2 linked regions of the Lepisosteus oculatus genome follow. The protein of the gene in region 2 purifies or fractionates together with the protein of the main gene of each other region. This does not show direct contact. Links are inferred from orthologs where the notes say so. Each region holds a gene or a part of one and is shown on either strand. Other genes may lie near its edges.

Region 1 (3,795 bases), on a different chromosome or scaffold from region 2:
GAAAACTATTCAGTACATGGAAAAGGGCAAAACTTTGACTGTTCTCTCTTTTTATCTTGAAATTAATTATGTAGTTGTCAATTCACAGAATGCTGTGTTAATACTGTAATATGTATGTTTCATTCCAATTAATTACTATATGTAGAAAAAAACTCACCTATCTCTTCCTGCTGTTTCCTAGAAAGCTTTCTAATTAATACTTTGAAGCTGTTATACGATTGTTTTTTTCATCTGCAGTTCAATACTTTATTAAATGTAAGAAATACCAAGTTCATGTTATAAACGGAATAGGGAACACGTTCTCGGTCATTCTACACCCAAATGGCAACTTAGTATAGATATCTTCAGGTGGCACAGACATTCAACAAAAAGCAAATAAATAACTGTAAGTAAAAATTCTTATTAATCAAACTAATGGTTTTGATTTTTTACAAGAGACCACTGAAAACTACACGTGATTAAAAAGAAACAGATGATGCAGGTATTTGCAAACCAGTCCTGACGACTTGTAAATCACTAGATCCTTATTTTCTGTTGGTGTGGTAGGATGAAGTATTCATATTTGTTTTTATTAAAACGTATTTATTTTACCTAGCATTTCTGATTAATGGCATGGTTATACCCTAATTTGCTGGTCTGAGAATCGAAATCTGGGAAATAAGAACAAATTGGGCGGTATTGTCAAAATTAATTGCGACCATATCCCACGTCTGTCTATGAGTTTCGAGTTTTGAGAAAACACATTTCATTCCAGACGATACAGATTTCCCAATCTAAAAACAAATTATTTAATATACATGTGTATCGTTTGAGAGTTTTCCTTTATTGTCAGCCGCTGTAAACAAATTGCCCCTTATAGATAATAAAGACTCTTTCCTAATGTTAAGTGTAGTTAATTCAAAGCACACAATTTAGGTAAGATTATACAGTTGTGCTATAGAAACGACGTGCAGCGAAATCTATTATCTTTAACATCTTCAGTGACAACTTTTAAAAATATATCGTAAATAATGATCAATTTTTACCTTACACATTTTACCAGTATTGCAAGAACCGCCCCCAGTATTAATTATACCTCGTGGTTCCTGAGCGTCTCAATAATAAAAAAAATTGACCTCCTTCCCCGTGATCCTCTGCGATTCTCGCAGGGAGAGGGATGTCACGTGGCATCCCTCTGTCCAATCAGAGGCTTGCTCTCGCTGTTCAATTCGCAGTTCTGTTGCTGTTTGAAACCAGTGTCGGTTGGACTGGGAATCAGAGCTGTGTGGAGAAGTTACTATTTTGCTTCGTTTTTAAAAGTATTACTGCTTCCAGTTTTGTAGCACAGTCATTTTTTACTCAAGCCATGGCTCATAAGCAGATCTACTACTCCGATAAATATACCGATGACCACTATGAATACAGGTAAAATAATTATCATTTGTTCAGTGCTTCATAGTGTGGTAGGAGGAGGAGTAGCTGTAGTAAAAAAAATATTTACTAGACAGTGGTAAATAGTAACTCGTGAGATTTAAGCCTTATAAATGGTAGTGATTATTCTATATTGTATAGCGCGGTGGATGCGCGAAGGCTGGAAAGGAGGTCTCTGTTTTCATTACAAACACAAACTGATGAGAAATGTTTAAGCTTTGTGTATTTTTGTATTTTAGCTAGTTAAACGTAACAAAAAAAATGATCGATTTTAATCTGCGATTTCATGTTGCGAACAGTTATTTTCTGTTGTGGGCTGGGTGAGTCAGTGAAAGTTACTTTCCTGTTCGCCATGCGGGAGATTTTTTTTTTTTAGCGTCGGTATCAAACGGGCTTCATTCGAAAGGAAACCACTCTTGTACAAGCATTCAAACTCATAAGAACTAAAATTGAAAAAAGCTTGTTTAGTTGGAGACCCGGAACTTTCTAGAAAACGAGGCTGCTGGTCCCAGGCTGAACTTCGGAAAACAGACCAGCCAGTGTTTCCTCCCGGCGCCTGCAGATAAACTCCCCACGTTTCCTGTGGACGAAATAAACCAGAGATGCGAAACGCGACGATTCGGCTTTTCAAACATCAAAGAGAGACGGTGGATGGTATACCTGCAGTTTTAAGCAAATTGCTAAATCACAGGGCAGTTTAGGTTGGTTCCTTCTAAAGCAGAATGTGCTCCACCTTCACTGTTTTCAGATTAAAAAAAACCTTTTCCGCAGTTTACCAATGCAGTGACCGAATATGTAATCGTTCATTTTATTTAGAGAAAAGTCGACTTTTTTGCACCCCGTGAATATGATTTTCAGGGGGTATGTCGTTTTCAAGCATGATCTTCTATCTTTACTTGCAGATGTTGTTGTTCTCTTTGGTAGAACTTTTCAGGCCCATGACTTCCTTGAGTGTTTCTTAAATCCCCTCGGTGTAAATATCACTGCAAAGCCCCATACAAAGAGCATACAAGTATCACTGCAAAGCCCCATACAAAGAGCAAATGCGAACTCATCAAATCGCATATCTGTGAGAGTGATTCTCTTAATATGCTTTGTGAGCTTTTAGAATTTGGCTGCAGTTCTTTATGGATGACTAGTACTTTAAAACATTGACAAAATATATACATGCTGGTACTGTCCATCCCCAGCAGTGTTGCTGCAGATCTTTGCTGTAGAGTTGTGGAACTCTAAAACGTGACTAGCCAATAGTTTCTCAGGAATAAGTTATTTACTGAACCTCACTACCACCTCCTTGGATGTTTAAGTATTCTGCAAATGTAGAAAACATATTTTATATATTTATGCTATAAAATCTGCACTTAATATTTCTACGAGTAGGTGGTGTCCTTCTTCCCCCACAGCATATATACGAGAGTGTCTTCTCCTACTTAATTTAATAAGTCACCTGTAGTTAGTGTTTCTCTTTAGATGTTGATTATAATCCTGTTGGAATGGGGATCACCGGGAGTAGAGATAGAGATGTCTGTACCACAGGATAAATAAAGGTTTTTGATTTTCTTTTAACAGGCATGTAATGCTACCCAAGGAGCTGGCAAAACAAGTACCCAAAACACACTTGATGTCAGAAGACGAATGGAGGCGGTTAGGAGTACAGCAGAGTCTTGGATGGGTTCACTACATGATCCACGAACCTGGTTTGTACTTACTATGGCACTTAAACCCTCTGAAATCTGTTCTGGCTTTCTGCTTTTGCATGTTCAGGTTAATTGCAGTTTTTACCAGGAATGGTTTCACTCCAGCCAGTTTTTCCATTTTGATGAGATCCAGATATCAAAACCCTTTATGTATAGAAAACGTAGTCTAAAGGAATTTTTAGTATTCTCTGCAAAAGATTTAGATTTGGACCTCAATTTTACTAGCCTGTATTTTTTTTTATAGTTTAAGACATAATGACTTGTGTGAAATGGTAGATTTAGAGCAAAGAATAATTTGTAGTGCTGTAGGGAAGCAAACACTTTTTGTGATGAAGGTAGAAAAATAAAAACTGATTGAATTCGAACTTATCCTGTTTTATAGGAGCACAAGTCCTCTCCAGGACTAAAGATCAATGCTTTTTGACAAATTAAGTAGCATACTGAAAAAAGTCTATGTATATGGAATAGATTATAACTTCACTCCCTCTTATTTCAGAGCCACACATTCTCTTGTTCAGAAGACCTCTTCAGAAAGAGTAAAGTGAACTTCCGGAATCTTCACATGAATCTTCTGGGACATTGTTCATTATTGTGGTATTCAGTGAATACTTGGATTTTGCCAACAAATTTGCCAACTCCTGCGCATGAGCTGTATTCTTCACAGCAACAAAGCTCAGTCAAAATACAG
Region 2 (3,795 bases):
GTCAGTCTGTCCTGCCCTCACCTGCGCAGTCCCTGCAGTCAGTCTGTCCTTCCCTCGCCTGCGCAGTCCCTGCAGTCAGTCTGTCCTGCCCTCGCCTGCGCAGTCCCTGCAGTCCTGTTGCTCGCCCCTGTGTCCTCGCCTGCGCAGTCCCTTCAGTCAGTCTGTCCTGCCCTCACCTGCGCAGTCCCTTCAGTCAGTCTGTCCCTCGCCTGCGCAGTCCCTGCAGTCAGTCTGTCCCTCGCCTGCGCAGTCCCTGCAGTCAGTCTGTCCTGCCCTCACCTGCGCAGTCCCTGCAGTCAGTCTGTCCTTCCCTCGCCTGCGCAGTCCCTGCAGTCAGTCTGTCCTGCCCTCACCTGCGCAGTCCCTGCAGTCAGTCTGTCCTGCCCTCGCCTGCGCAGTCCCTTCAGTCAGTCTGTCCCTCGCCTGCGCAGTCCCTGCAGTCAGTCTGTCCTGCCCTCACCTGCGCAGTCCCTGCAGTCAGTCTGTCCTTCCCTCGCCTGCGCAGTCCCTGCAGTCAGTCTGTCCTTCCCTCGCCTGCGCAGTCCCTGCAGTCAGTCTGTCCTGCCCTCGCCTGCGCAGTCCCTGCAGTCAGTCTGTCCTTCCCTCCCCTGCGCAGTCCCTGCAGTCAGTCTGTCCTGCCCTCCCCTGCGCAGTCCCTGCAGTCAGTCTGTCCCTCGCCTGCGCAGTCCCTGCTGTCAGTCTGTCCCTCGCCTGCGCAGTCCCTGCAGTCCTGTTGCTCGCCCCTGTGTCCTCGCCTGCGCAGTCCCTGCAGTCCTGTTGCTCGCCCCTGTGCCCTCGCCTGCGCAGTCCCTGCAGTCCTGTTGCTCGCCCCTGTGTCCTCGCCTGCGCAGTCCCTGCAGTCCTGTTGCTCGCCCCTGTGTCCTCGCCTGCGCAGTCCCTGCAGTCCTGTTGCTCGCCCCTGTGTCCATGCCGGTCCCGCGGGAGACGCAGCTGTCCTCCCCGCCTCTCCCTGTTCCTGCCTTCTTCAGCCAGGCGGAGCAGAGCTTCTCCCTGAAGAAGAGGCGCCCGCAGCCAGACTCCTCCTCCTCCTCCTCTTCCCCTCCGCCCCTGTCCCGCTCCCTGCCCCCCCGGCCCCCCTGCAAGGGCGCCCCCCCCCTCAGCCGGGTGTTCCCCCAGCGGGTGCCCTCCTGGAGCCACCCCCGCCCCCGGCCGGTGTCCCTGGCCCTGCTGCCCCCCCGCCAGCTGCCCTCCTCCCAGTACAACCCCAGCAGCCCCCAGTCCTACTTCCAGCAGTGCTTCTCCTGCCTGGGCCTGCTGGGCAGGGGCTCCTTCGGGGAGGTGTTCAAGGTGAGGGGGTACAGCCCTGAGGGGGTCAGAGGGGAGGTGTTCAAGGTGAGGGGGTACAGTCCTGAGGGGGTCAGAGGGGAGGTGTTCAAGGTGAGGGGGTTCAGTCCTGAGGGGGTCAGAGGGGAGGTGTTCAAGGTGAGGGGGTACAGTCCTGAGGGGCTCCTTCGGGGAGGTGTTCAAGGTGAGGGGGTACAGTCCTGAGGGGGTCAGAGGGGAGGTGTTCAAGGTGAGGGGGTACAGTCCTGAGGGGGTACAGTCCTGAGGGGGTCAGAGGGGAGGTGTTCAAGGTGAAGGGGGTACAGTCCTGAGGGGGTCAGAGGGGAGGTGTTCAAGGTGAGGGGGTACAGTCCTGAGGGGGTACAGTCCTGAGGGGGTCAGAGGGGAGGTGTTCAAGGTGAGGGGGTCAGAGGGGAGGTGTTCAAGGTGAGGGGGTACAGTCCTGAGGGGGTCAGAGGGGAGGTGTTCAAGGTGAGGGGGTACAGTCCTGAGGGGTACAGTCCTGAGGGGGTCAGAGGGGAGGTGTTCAAGGTGAGGGGGTACAGTCCTGAGGGGGTCAGAGGGGAGGTGTTCAAGGTGAGGGGGTACAGTCCTGAGGGGGTCAGAGGGGAGGTGTTCAAGGTGAGGGGGTACAGTCCTGAGGGGGTCAGAGGGGAGGTGTTCAAGGTGAGAGGGGGTACAGTCCTGAGGGGGTCAGAGGGGAGGTGTTCAAGGTGAGGGGGTACAGTCCTGAGGGGGTCAGAGGTGAGGTGTTCAAGGTGAGGGGGTACAGTCCTGAGGGGGTCAGAGGGGAGGTGTTCAAGGTGAGGGGGTACAGTCCTGAGGGGGTCAGAGGGGAGGTGTTCAAGGTGAGGGGGTACAGTCCTGAGGGGGTCAGAGGGGAGGTGTTCAAGGTGAGGGGGTACAGTCCTGAGGGGGTCAGAGGGGAGGTGTTCAAGGTGAGGGGGTACAGTCCTGAGGGGGTCAGAGGGGAGGTGTTCAAGGTGAGGGGGTACAGCCCTGAGGGGGTACAGTCCTGAGGGGGTCAGAGGGGAGGTGTTCAAGGTGAGGGGGTACAGTCCTGAGGGGGTCAGAGGGGAGGTGTTCAAGGTGAGAGGGGGTACAGTCCTGAGGGGCTCCTTCGGGGAGGTGTTCAAGGTGAGGGGGTACAGTCCTGAGGGGGTCAGAGGGGAGGTGTTCAAGGTGAGGGGGTACAGTCCTGAGGGGGTCAGAGGGGAGGTGTTCAAGGTGAGAGGGGGTACAGTCCTGAGGGGGTCAGAGGGGAGGTGTTCAAGGTGAGAGGGGGTACAGTCCTGAGGGGGTCAGAGGGGAGGTGTTCAAGGTGAGGGGGTACAGTCCTGAGGGGGTCAGAGGGGAGGTGTTCAAGGTGAGGGGGTACAGTCCTGAGGGGGTCAGAGGGGAGGTGTTCAAGGTGAGAGGGGGTACAGTCCTGAGGGGGTCAGAGCGGAGGTGTTCAAGGTGAGGGGGTACAGTCCTGAGGGGGTACAGTCCTGAGGGGGTCAGAGGGGAGGTGTTCAAGGTGAGGGGGTACAGTCCTGAGGGGGTCAGAGGGGAGGTGTTCAAGGTGAGGGGGTACAGTACTGAGGGGGTCAGAGGGGAGGTGTTCAAGGTGAGAGGGGGTACAGTCCTGAGGGGCTCCTTCGGGGAGGTGTTCAAGGTGAGGGGGTACAGTCCTGAGGGGGTCAGAGGGGAGGTGTTCAAGGTGAGGGGGTACAGTCCTGAGGGGGTCAGAGGGGAGGTGTTCAAGGTGAGAGGGGGTACAGCACTGAGGGGCTCCTTCGGGGAGGTGTTCAAGGTGAGGGGGTACAGTCCTGAGGGGGTCAGAGGGGAGGTGTTCAAGGTGAGGGGGTACAGTCCTGAGGGGGTCAGAGGGGAGGTGTTCAAGGTGAGGGGGTACAGTCCTGAGGGGGTCAGAGGGGAGGTGTTCAAGGTGAGAGGGGGTACAGTCCTGAGGGGGTCAGAGGGGAGGTGTTCAAGGTGAGGGGGTACAGTCCTGAGGGGCTCCTTCGGGGAGGTGTTCAAGGTGAGGGGGTACAGTCCTGAGGGGGTCAGAGGGGAGGTGTTCAAGGTGAGGGGGTACAGTCCTGAGGGGGTACAGTCCTGAGGGGGTCAGAGGGGAGGTGTTCAAGGTGAGAGGGGGTACAGTCCTGAGGGGGTCAGAGGGGAGGTGTTCAAGGTGAGGGGGTACAGTCCTGAGGGGGTCAGAGGGGAGGTGTTCAAGGTGAGGGGGTACAGTCCTGAGGGGGTCAGAGGGGAGGTGTTCAAGGTGAGGGGGTACAGTCCTGAGGGGGTCAGAGGGGAGGTGTTCAAGGTGAGAGGGGGTACAGCACTGAGGGGCTCCTTCGGGGAGGTGTTCAAGGTGAGGGGGTACAGTCCTGAGGGGGTCAGAGGGGAGGTGTTCAAGGTGAGGGGGTACAGTCCTGAGGGGGTCAGAGGGGAGGTGTTCAAGGTGAGGGGGTACAGTCCTGAGGGGGTCAGAGGGGAGGTGTT

The links. Proteins that work in one complex are often made in the same cells at the same time.
Region 1: the proteins of pkmyt1 (region 2) and zgc:86839 purify together in Homo sapiens (affinity purification with mass spectrometry; 3 studies listed by BioGRID and IntAct, counting the BioPlex papers as one, with this or other methods). This does not show direct contact. The link is inferred for Lepisosteus oculatus from reciprocal best matches to the Homo sapiens genes PKMYT1 and CKS2.

The regions. Positions count from the first base shown.
Region 1 is NC_090698.1:20,805,398-20,809,192, reverse strand, and holds the start of zgc:86839 (cyclin-dependent kinases regulatory subunit 2), read left to right. Parts: upstream 1-1,190; 5' UTR 1,191-1,345; coding exon 1,346-1,404; intron 1,405-2,979; coding exon 2,980-3,107; intron 3,108-3,603; coding exon 3,604-3,647; 3' UTR 3,648-3,795. UniProt on the Homo sapiens protein: Binds to the catalytic subunit of the cyclin dependent kinases and is essential for their biological function.
Region 2 is NC_090699.1:1,217,479-1,221,273, reverse strand, and holds the start of pkmyt1 (membrane-associated tyrosine- and threonine-specific cdc2-inhibitory kinase), read left to right. Parts: upstream 1-927; coding exon 928-1,308; intron 1,309-3,795. UniProt on the Homo sapiens protein: Acts as a negative regulator of entry into mitosis (G2 to M transition) by phosphorylation of the CDK1 kinase specifically when CDK1 is complexed to cyclins. Mediates phosphorylation of CDK1 predominantly on 'Thr-14'. Also involved in Golgi fragmentation.